2 linked regions of the Yarrowia lipolytica genome follow. The protein of the gene in region 2 interacts with the protein of the main gene of each other region in a biochemical or structural test. Links are inferred from orthologs where the notes say so. Each region holds a gene or a part of one and is shown on either strand. Other genes may lie near its edges.

Region 1 (3,474 bases), about 1.0 Mb from region 2:
AGGACGTCAAGAAGAAGGGCAAGTCCGACAAGGATGAGCTCTGACTACATGGCTCCAAAAAGAAGGCCATTGAAATCTATGATAACCTGCGGGACCGTACCCAGGCCGTGTACCAGCGGGAGAAGCACAACGCCAGCTGCTTTTTTGTTTTTCTCTTCACCGCCGCTTGTGTGATTGCCATCAAGGCCCGAGGGTCTAATGCTATCAAGCAGCGAGCTGAGTAGAGTAATGTAATCGAGAATATGTTCAAGTGATAGTACAAGAACGAGTACATACTGTAGCTGTATGTACACAATTGAGTGGTACATCTACGTACTTGTATGGTATTAAAGGGTACAGTAATTTACCCGCATAGTATCTGTATACTGTCCAAGATCTGCCTGAATATGCATCTTTGTCTGAATGGGGTATAATATATCAGGTTAAATGCAATGTCTATATGCTGGAGGGGAGAGATAGCTTCCAAGAATTTGTCGGCCCCCGATTCATTCGTCGGCTACCTCTTATTCTCATTTCGTGTTGTTCTTATTGACCATGTTGATCAATGGAATGTCGTCTCCAGAGTCTTGGGCCTCGTCGTCATACTCATAGTGCTCCTGAGGAGGAGGCTGGAGATGTTGAGGAAGGTCGTACTGTGTGCGTTTTTGCTGTTGCTGACGCTGCTGCTTGATGTAGGCCTGGTTCTGGTCTCTGATTTGGACTTCCTTAGCCGCGGCCTCTCTGATCTTTTGCAGCACCTGTTTATTAAGGGGGAACTGGGTACCGTTGCCCCGGGCCGCTTCACTGGGCTGGATAGGCAGCAGCCACATCCACCACTTGTCGCCCATGACGAGCTGGAAGTTGCGTTTCCAGCCCACGTCAAACACGTTTCCGACCGTCTTGGACGTAGGCGCAAACGTGTATCTGTATGCGGCAGTGGGCACGGCAGACCGGTACTGGGTGCTTTCCAGAAACTCGACCGTGCTCTGGTTGTTGAACACGAGGTAGAGCGAGAAGGTGGCAAACGTGCCGACCGCGATGGCAAACACCAGTGCCAGGACCATGAGGATCATGACGTTGACGGATATTGCGCCCACGTAGTCTGTGTTTCCGTCCGGGCCGCGCATGGCACCAATCTCCAGAATGTGGTTGTAGAAGACAAAGCCCGTAGAGCCGAGACAGAAGAAACACAGAATTGTCACGTACCACAGAAACAGCACAAAGTACTTGTGGTTGTGGAACCCGATGGCCGTGGCAAACCAGGGGCAGTAGTGGTCAAACTTGAGCACGCATCGCTTGTAGTTTGAGCAGTGGTGTGATCGGTCCGGTTTCCAGCCGATGCATTTGGTGCAGAACCGTAGACCTCCATTCTCCTTGGCACACACGGAGTTAGCCATCTCTCGAGGAGGCGTGAGATGTTGGCCTTCGGCGCTGCATGCGTTCTGGTACTCAACCAGTGGCACCGAGAAGTTGTCGATGTCGGTGGGGCTTCCGGGGCCCACCTTGCATACTTTGAGATAGAGCACGTTGCACATGATGCCGATAGCCACGCCCGCCACGCCGTAGACGCGCCAGAAGGTGGTGTCGGACTCAAACAACTGCGGTTCCCAGCACACCAGCCATGCGTGGACCCAGCAGGCCCAGATGATGAGGAAATTGACGACGAGCGGCAGGAACGCCTTGGCGCCTATGAAGCACCATTTTTCGCATGCAAAGCAGCATTTGCGGCACTGCATTTCGGGGAGTCGAGTGTCGTGTGGCACGCGTAGGTTGGTGTGGTGATGGTGACGCACTCCACTGATACTAAGTTAGAGTAGATCAGATCAAATCGGTCAGACACGAAAAGTAAGGGAAAAAGAGAATCTCCAGGGTGAGCAGGATGTGTTTGTTGTTAACTGTTTTGTACACCGACCGATTGTCTAAGCAGATTGTCTCATATTCGATTATTCATCACTGTTACATGCCGTCTTATCTGGTCCATTTGCCACCATGGCTGTGCATACTCACTATATATGTACTAGCGCTACATATTCTACTATGCTAAGAATGATGAACTGGCAGAAATATTTGTATGTGGCATCCCCTCATCCTCGGTCAAATCAGAGATCAATTAATACTGGATCAACTACTTACTTGCAACTCATAATCTCGCTTAGTTGTACTTGTCGGAAAGGGTCTGGACAAGAGCAATGTACTCCTGCTCAGCCTCCTCCTGAGACTTGCCCTTGAGCTTGTCCCAGGCGTCCCACTTGTACTTGGCCTTGAAGTTGAAGGCGCCGGGTCGGTCGGTGTTGTTGTCGCCGACGGTGGCCTGCTTGTACAGTCCGTAGAGCTGTGTTAGTAGGGGAAAACGGGCCGGACTGATGATCGATATGGGCTGTGTTGCACCCTGGATAGCCCGTGGCACCCTGGTTCTGATGCGAACATGTGTCGTCAATTCAATCAATACATGTGCCCTTGTTAATGAGACACGAACAGACCCTCCGGGTATGCTCTCATCTTCTCTCAATACTCACCTCAAGAAGCTCGTCGTCGGAAGGAGTCTTGGGAAGCTTCTGCACAGAGTCGGCCTGAGTTAGTAACTTGGTTTTTGGAGCAATTGCGCCTTTGTGTCTGTGCGACTTGGTCGATCGCTCAATGGCGCCTGCTACTCACAGCGGCGGTGAATTCGGCGGAAGGCATGGTGGTAATGTGGGTGTTGTGTGGAGATGACGACACCTCGAGCGGTGTATATGGCGTTAGTTTTAGGGTTAGGGGTGTTACCAATGCGGCAACTAAGTGTGCATGCGTGCCGAGGTCCCATCACAATAGTGGCCCTTGTTGGAACCCAATCAATGCTGGGGGTTTTTGTTGAGACGAGCAAACGGACCTTTTTGTGGTAGCTGGGCGGCGCAAAGGGGGGTTTATTGTGTAATGTGAGCTGATCTGGAGTGAAAACTGGTCCCATTTAGTCCATTATACAGCTCTGTGAGCAACCAGAAAACAATGTGTTCTGACCCCAACGCTGTCTAGACGGGATCCAAGTGCATGATTAGCGCAATTAAGGGTGAAAAAGGAGATGAGATGGAGGGGAGAAGACGTACGATTGTTGTTGTTGTTGTTCGGTATTGATTGTTGTTGGATTTAGTTTACAGATTGTACTGCAACTTGTAGGAGTACGTACATGCTGTGGTTGGACTCTTGACCTCAAACTAAATACGTACATACTTCTAACTAGATAGTCAACCAAGGAACAACACGAGAGTAGAGCTCCAGTATATAGTTTAATGACGATGCTGTTCATATTAAAATAAAAAATGTGGAACTTCTGGAGAAGAACTGTGGTTATTACACCTCGGTATTCGGCCTCAGTTCATTATCGATGCTGATATACTTCCATTACGCTTTGATGAATGGCACCATATGACCATTATTATACAAGTGAACTGATGGTGCCTGAGGTCTATGCATTACTCGGAGCAGCAATCAAGATGATGATAGTTGTGCGGGTAGGAC
Region 2 (4,280 bases):
TCCAATTTTCAAGTCGGTGTAGTGGGCTTGTTTTCCCCGTGGGAGCATGCTTATATCGGAGCTATCTATGCACGGTGACCGAGTTTAAAGGGGCTGTGCTAGGGGGGTGTACCACAGCCTACAACAGGAGCATTTCGGAGGACACACAGCATAGAGTGACCGACGGACCAACAGGAAGAGGACACGTGACCTTTAATCTCACCCGATTGTTGCTTTTTCCACTCTATCAAAACACGGTTTGCACCCTCAACGGCCCCACTGGTCTATGAAGCCGGCCCATTAAGATTGTCATCCATCTACAATTGTAGGTCACCACCTCCACTTTTATTCATCCACTCATGTGAATGAACAAGGTTACATTGTGCCTATTACAGGTAACACCGATAACAAAGTTTGTGTTATCTCCAAGGAGATATGACGATGGAAACTACAGTATCTACAACTCCAAGTGCCGATTACAAATACATTAGTTGTCTTCCTTCTCCATATATAATAAATCATCGCATCCTACTATTTGAGCAAAGGAGCCACCTTTTTAGCCAACATGACAACCTCGCTCTTGGAATCCCGCATGTCCTCTCCATCGCCGTCAGCCCCATCAGAGTTCATGCTGGATAGCTGGTGGATGGCATCGACAATCTCATTGGAGTTCTTGAGCAGATCCTTAAGACGCTGGTCCTTGGACTCCAGCAGCTGCAGCACGGTCCACACGGCAATGTGGCCAAACGTAGAGTCGCCGCTGGTGAGGAACCGGATCAAAAACTCCCGGATTCCTCCGCTGGGCTCGTTCCAGTGGTTGACAAACGTGTCGTAGTTGCCCACCTTGGAAGACAGGTTGCCAAGCGCAGCGGCACTGTTGCCCTGCACCTCAATGTTGTCCGACAAGGTGAGGGGAATCAGAACCTCAGCGATTCCCAGCTCCAGCAATGTACCCTTGAGCTCGTCTCCGAGAGCGAGCACAGCCAAGCATGCAGTCATCTCGCTCTGGACCAGTCGAGGAGCGTCCAGCACTAGCTCCTTGCACTTCTGCACGGCGCCGGCCTCGACAATCTCCAGCTTGTTCCGCTCAGAGCTGGCAGCGAGATTTCGTAAGGTGGAGATTGTGTGGCACTGAATCTCCTCGTTGTCGCTAGCGCCCAGCAGCTCCACCAGCGTCTTAAGGAAGCCGGCCTCAATGATGGGGGTCTCGTTGAGAGGGTGGATGGAGATGTTTCGGATGCAAGCGACGGCCGCAAGAACCAGCGGCGTGTGAGTGGATTGGAATAAGTTAAACAGGTGGGGGAGGCCGTTGGCCTTGACAATCTCCAGCTGGTAGTCGGAGTCGCTGGCGAGGTTTCGCAGAGCAAGAGCAGCCTGGCACTGGACCCGAGGAGAGCCGGAGTCCATCAGCTTGATGAGATGCTCCACCAGCCGGGGCTCCGAGCTAGACAGCTTCTTTCGGTTGGACTCGTCCACAGCAATGTTGGAAAGAGCGGTGGTCGAATAGTACTGCACATCGGGGTCTCGCGACGACAGCAATGACACCAGAATGGGGATGGCGCCGGCGTTGACCAGCTCCTGTCGATTCTGGTCCGAGTGGGTCATGTTGAGAAGGGCACCAGTGGCGTTTCGCTGGACTCGCATGTCCTTAGACTTGGCGAGCTTGGTGAGTGGCAGCAGAGCGCCGGAGCGAGCAATCTTGGATTTGTTGGCCTCGTGGGTCGCCAGGTTGGTTATGCATCCCACGGCGTTGCACTGCACCTCCACGTTGGGCGACATCATCTGTCGGATGAGGGGCTCGAAGCCGCCCATCTCGACGATCAGCACCTTGTTTTCGTTGTTGACGGCGAGGTTGCCCAGGGCAGCAGAGGCTGCTCGCTGGATGTCGGGGTCGGTGTTTTGCAACAGCAGCAGCACGGGCTCGAGGCAGTCTCGGTTGACGGGCCGGATGTCCTTCTCTGTAATTTCTGCAAATGCGAGGGCGGCACTTCGCTGCAGGTCAATGTTGTCCGAGTAGACCAGAGTGCTGAGGGCTCGGAGGGGCCCGTTGGAGAAAAAGTCCACTTCGCCTCGGTTCTCGAGGTATCGCAGCAGGAGAGCCACGGCTTCCCGTTCGTCCTCGGCCAGCACGGGCGCGTAGTTGCCGTCCTGTTTGTTTCCTGGGTTAGTGACGACTGTGGGGCGGGGGGGAGCTGAACAAGAGAGACCAGACATACGCTGTCGCCCCATTCTGTCTGCAGCACTTGCTGCCATCTTCGCCCTTGCAAGACCCGCTCTCTGTCTGTGTACCATACTCACCTGAACAGCAGCTCGCACAAACACCCATCTTAGCTATTAGTCGAGGTAATCAGAAGACGTGTGTATATTAATGGCGGTCAAGTATCCAATCTGTCGCTTCACCGGGATATGGACCAACTAGGCTTTCGAGATGTCGACGTTTGTGGTGGTGTGACGGCGGTCTTGTGTTGCTACAAGAGAGTGTGGTGTGTGTAGTCGTCGAAAGTGCAGTAGACTTTGTGTGGGAGGGGTGTGTGAGAAGGGTTGCACAGTGCACCTAAATTGAGGTAAAACGGGGGGGAGGAAGGGCGGCGGTGGGAGCTATGATGCACAAGTCCGGTGCAACAATACCAATATAGGGGCGACATAATCCACGTAATAGGAGCCTACATAGCAACGTGACAGGTGTGAGACCCTTGCCCCGATCCGGCAGCGACATACCAGCACCTTTCTCTCTTTCTCTTGACGCTTCCCTCCCGCTCTACCTTTGGCTCTTCTTTTTTTGGCGTGTGTCAGATTGGTAATTTTGCCGGCAATTATACTTTGAGATTCTGAGCCTCGCTTCCCAAACGGGGTTTGTTAGTACACGCACCCTCTGAACTAACGAACTAAGGGGCAAATGGTGATAATTGGTCAGACGGTACACTGGAAGCAAAATAGCCGTCAAGAGAGCCTGGGGTTACATGCAACGCATATACGGCGTTGGAAACACCGAAAACACATGTTTGGAACACCCGCAACCCGCTCCAAGTCAACTAATCTATGCCTCCTACAGTCACCCTACCGCGTCTCGTATATCGTCGTCTAAGCACGACATACTCTACAGTGCCCAGTGTATACTCTACTGCAAAAGCCCCGGTGCACCGGTTCACCAGCAGAAATCAAGGCTAGGGAGTCTCTTGGGGCTGCCATCGTTGGGGGAGGAAATCAGATTGCTATTTCAGACTGCAATCAACGTCGGGCCCTTGTAATTGGACCATGTAAATTAGTTAAATATCGGGCGCAGCAAGCCCGTGGGATTATCAGCGCTTGCTGCTGTAATGCTGCATGGTCAACTAGAACCCTGAAGCTTAGTACTTGTAGGTTAGTTGGCCTTGTAAGCAAATCTCATGAGATTGCTTTGAGACGAGCCAGGAACACGCTGCACGGTCAGAGGAGAAATGGCGCTCTTCTTGGGACGCGCTTGCGGTGTGGAACTGGGCGTGATTGTGGGCGTGATTGTGGGCTTTTTGGCAACACCAGAGGAGCCTGTAGGAGTCACTACTCGACGCTTGGGCGTAGAGGCATTGTATCCAAACTCCTCAAACAGAGTAGACTTCCGCTTGGCACAAGTCACAGGTGTCTGCGGTAGCGTGGTGTCTTTGTTTGGGGTGCCAAACACGATGCTGCTTTCTTCAATGTCATCGTCGCTTCGGTCAGGCTCTGAACTCAACATGGTATTGAAGTTGAAGGGCTTGTTCTCCTTCTCAGCCTGATCGGGACTCGAAGGGATGGAGAAAAAGTGACTGGAAGTAAGCGCGGGGGACGTCTTCGTTCGGGTTGGACTCAACATGTTCTCCGCAGAAGCTGTTCGCACAGCCAGGTCAACCGGCTTTGCCACCAGAACAACGGGCTTCTTGCGGCGCAGCTGTTCGGGAAGTCGCTTGACATCGCCTGTGTACTCATTTTTGGGCGCAAAGAATCCCCGTAGATCGGTAGGCTTGGCTGTCTTGTTGGCAGGAAAAGTCTTATGAGTTCGAGGGTGCACCAGTCCAGTGGCTATTGCTCGCGCCAGACCTTGTGGAATCTCGGCGCCAATGTGAAAGTCGACCTTTTCGTCCAGCTCATCTTCAGGCTCATTCAAATGTACCAGCCTACGAGCCTCGGGGCAGTAGACTCGTTGGTAGAGAAATGTAAAGTTGGCAGCATGGAATCGTTCTAAAAAGTCGGGTGAGGAGTTGTATCCGTCCATACGAAGAGCCTTAATGATAGCCTCGGGAGTTTGCCATCGTCGAATGTACCGAGCAGCTCGTTTAGGACCCACG

Evidence for each region. The genes of interacting proteins can lie anywhere in the genome.
Region 1: of the proteins of YALI1_E17037g (region 2) and YALI1_E27273g, one has a biochemical effect on the other in vitro, tested with the Saccharomyces cerevisiae proteins (2 studies listed by BioGRID). The link is inferred for Yarrowia lipolytica from reciprocal best matches to the Saccharomyces cerevisiae genes VAC8 and PFA3.

The regions. Positions count from the first base shown.
Region 1 is NC_090774.1:2,725,589-2,729,062, forward strand, and holds YALI1_E27273g (uncharacterized protein), read right to left. Parts: upstream 1,716-3,474; coding exon 510-1,715; downstream 1-509. Other genes in the region: YALI1_E27249g (uncharacterized protein), read left to right, coding at 1-44; YALI1_E27279g (uncharacterized protein), read right to left, coding at 2,132-2,311, 2,496-2,549, 2,635-2,661. UniProt on the Saccharomyces cerevisiae protein: Palmitoyltransferase specific for VAC8. Palmitoylates VAC8 at one or more of its N-terminal cysteine residues, which is required for its proper membrane localization.
Region 2 is NC_090774.1:1,701,497-1,705,776, forward strand, and holds YALI1_E17037g (uncharacterized protein), read right to left. Parts: upstream 2,272-4,280; coding exon 511-2,271; downstream 1-510. Other genes in the region: YALI1_E17065g (uncharacterized protein), read right to left, coding at 3,341-4,280. UniProt on the Saccharomyces cerevisiae protein: Functions in both vacuole inheritance and protein targeting from the cytoplasm to vacuole (cvt). Involved in the formation of nucleus-vacuole junctions (NVJs) during piecemeal microautophagy of the nucleus (PMN).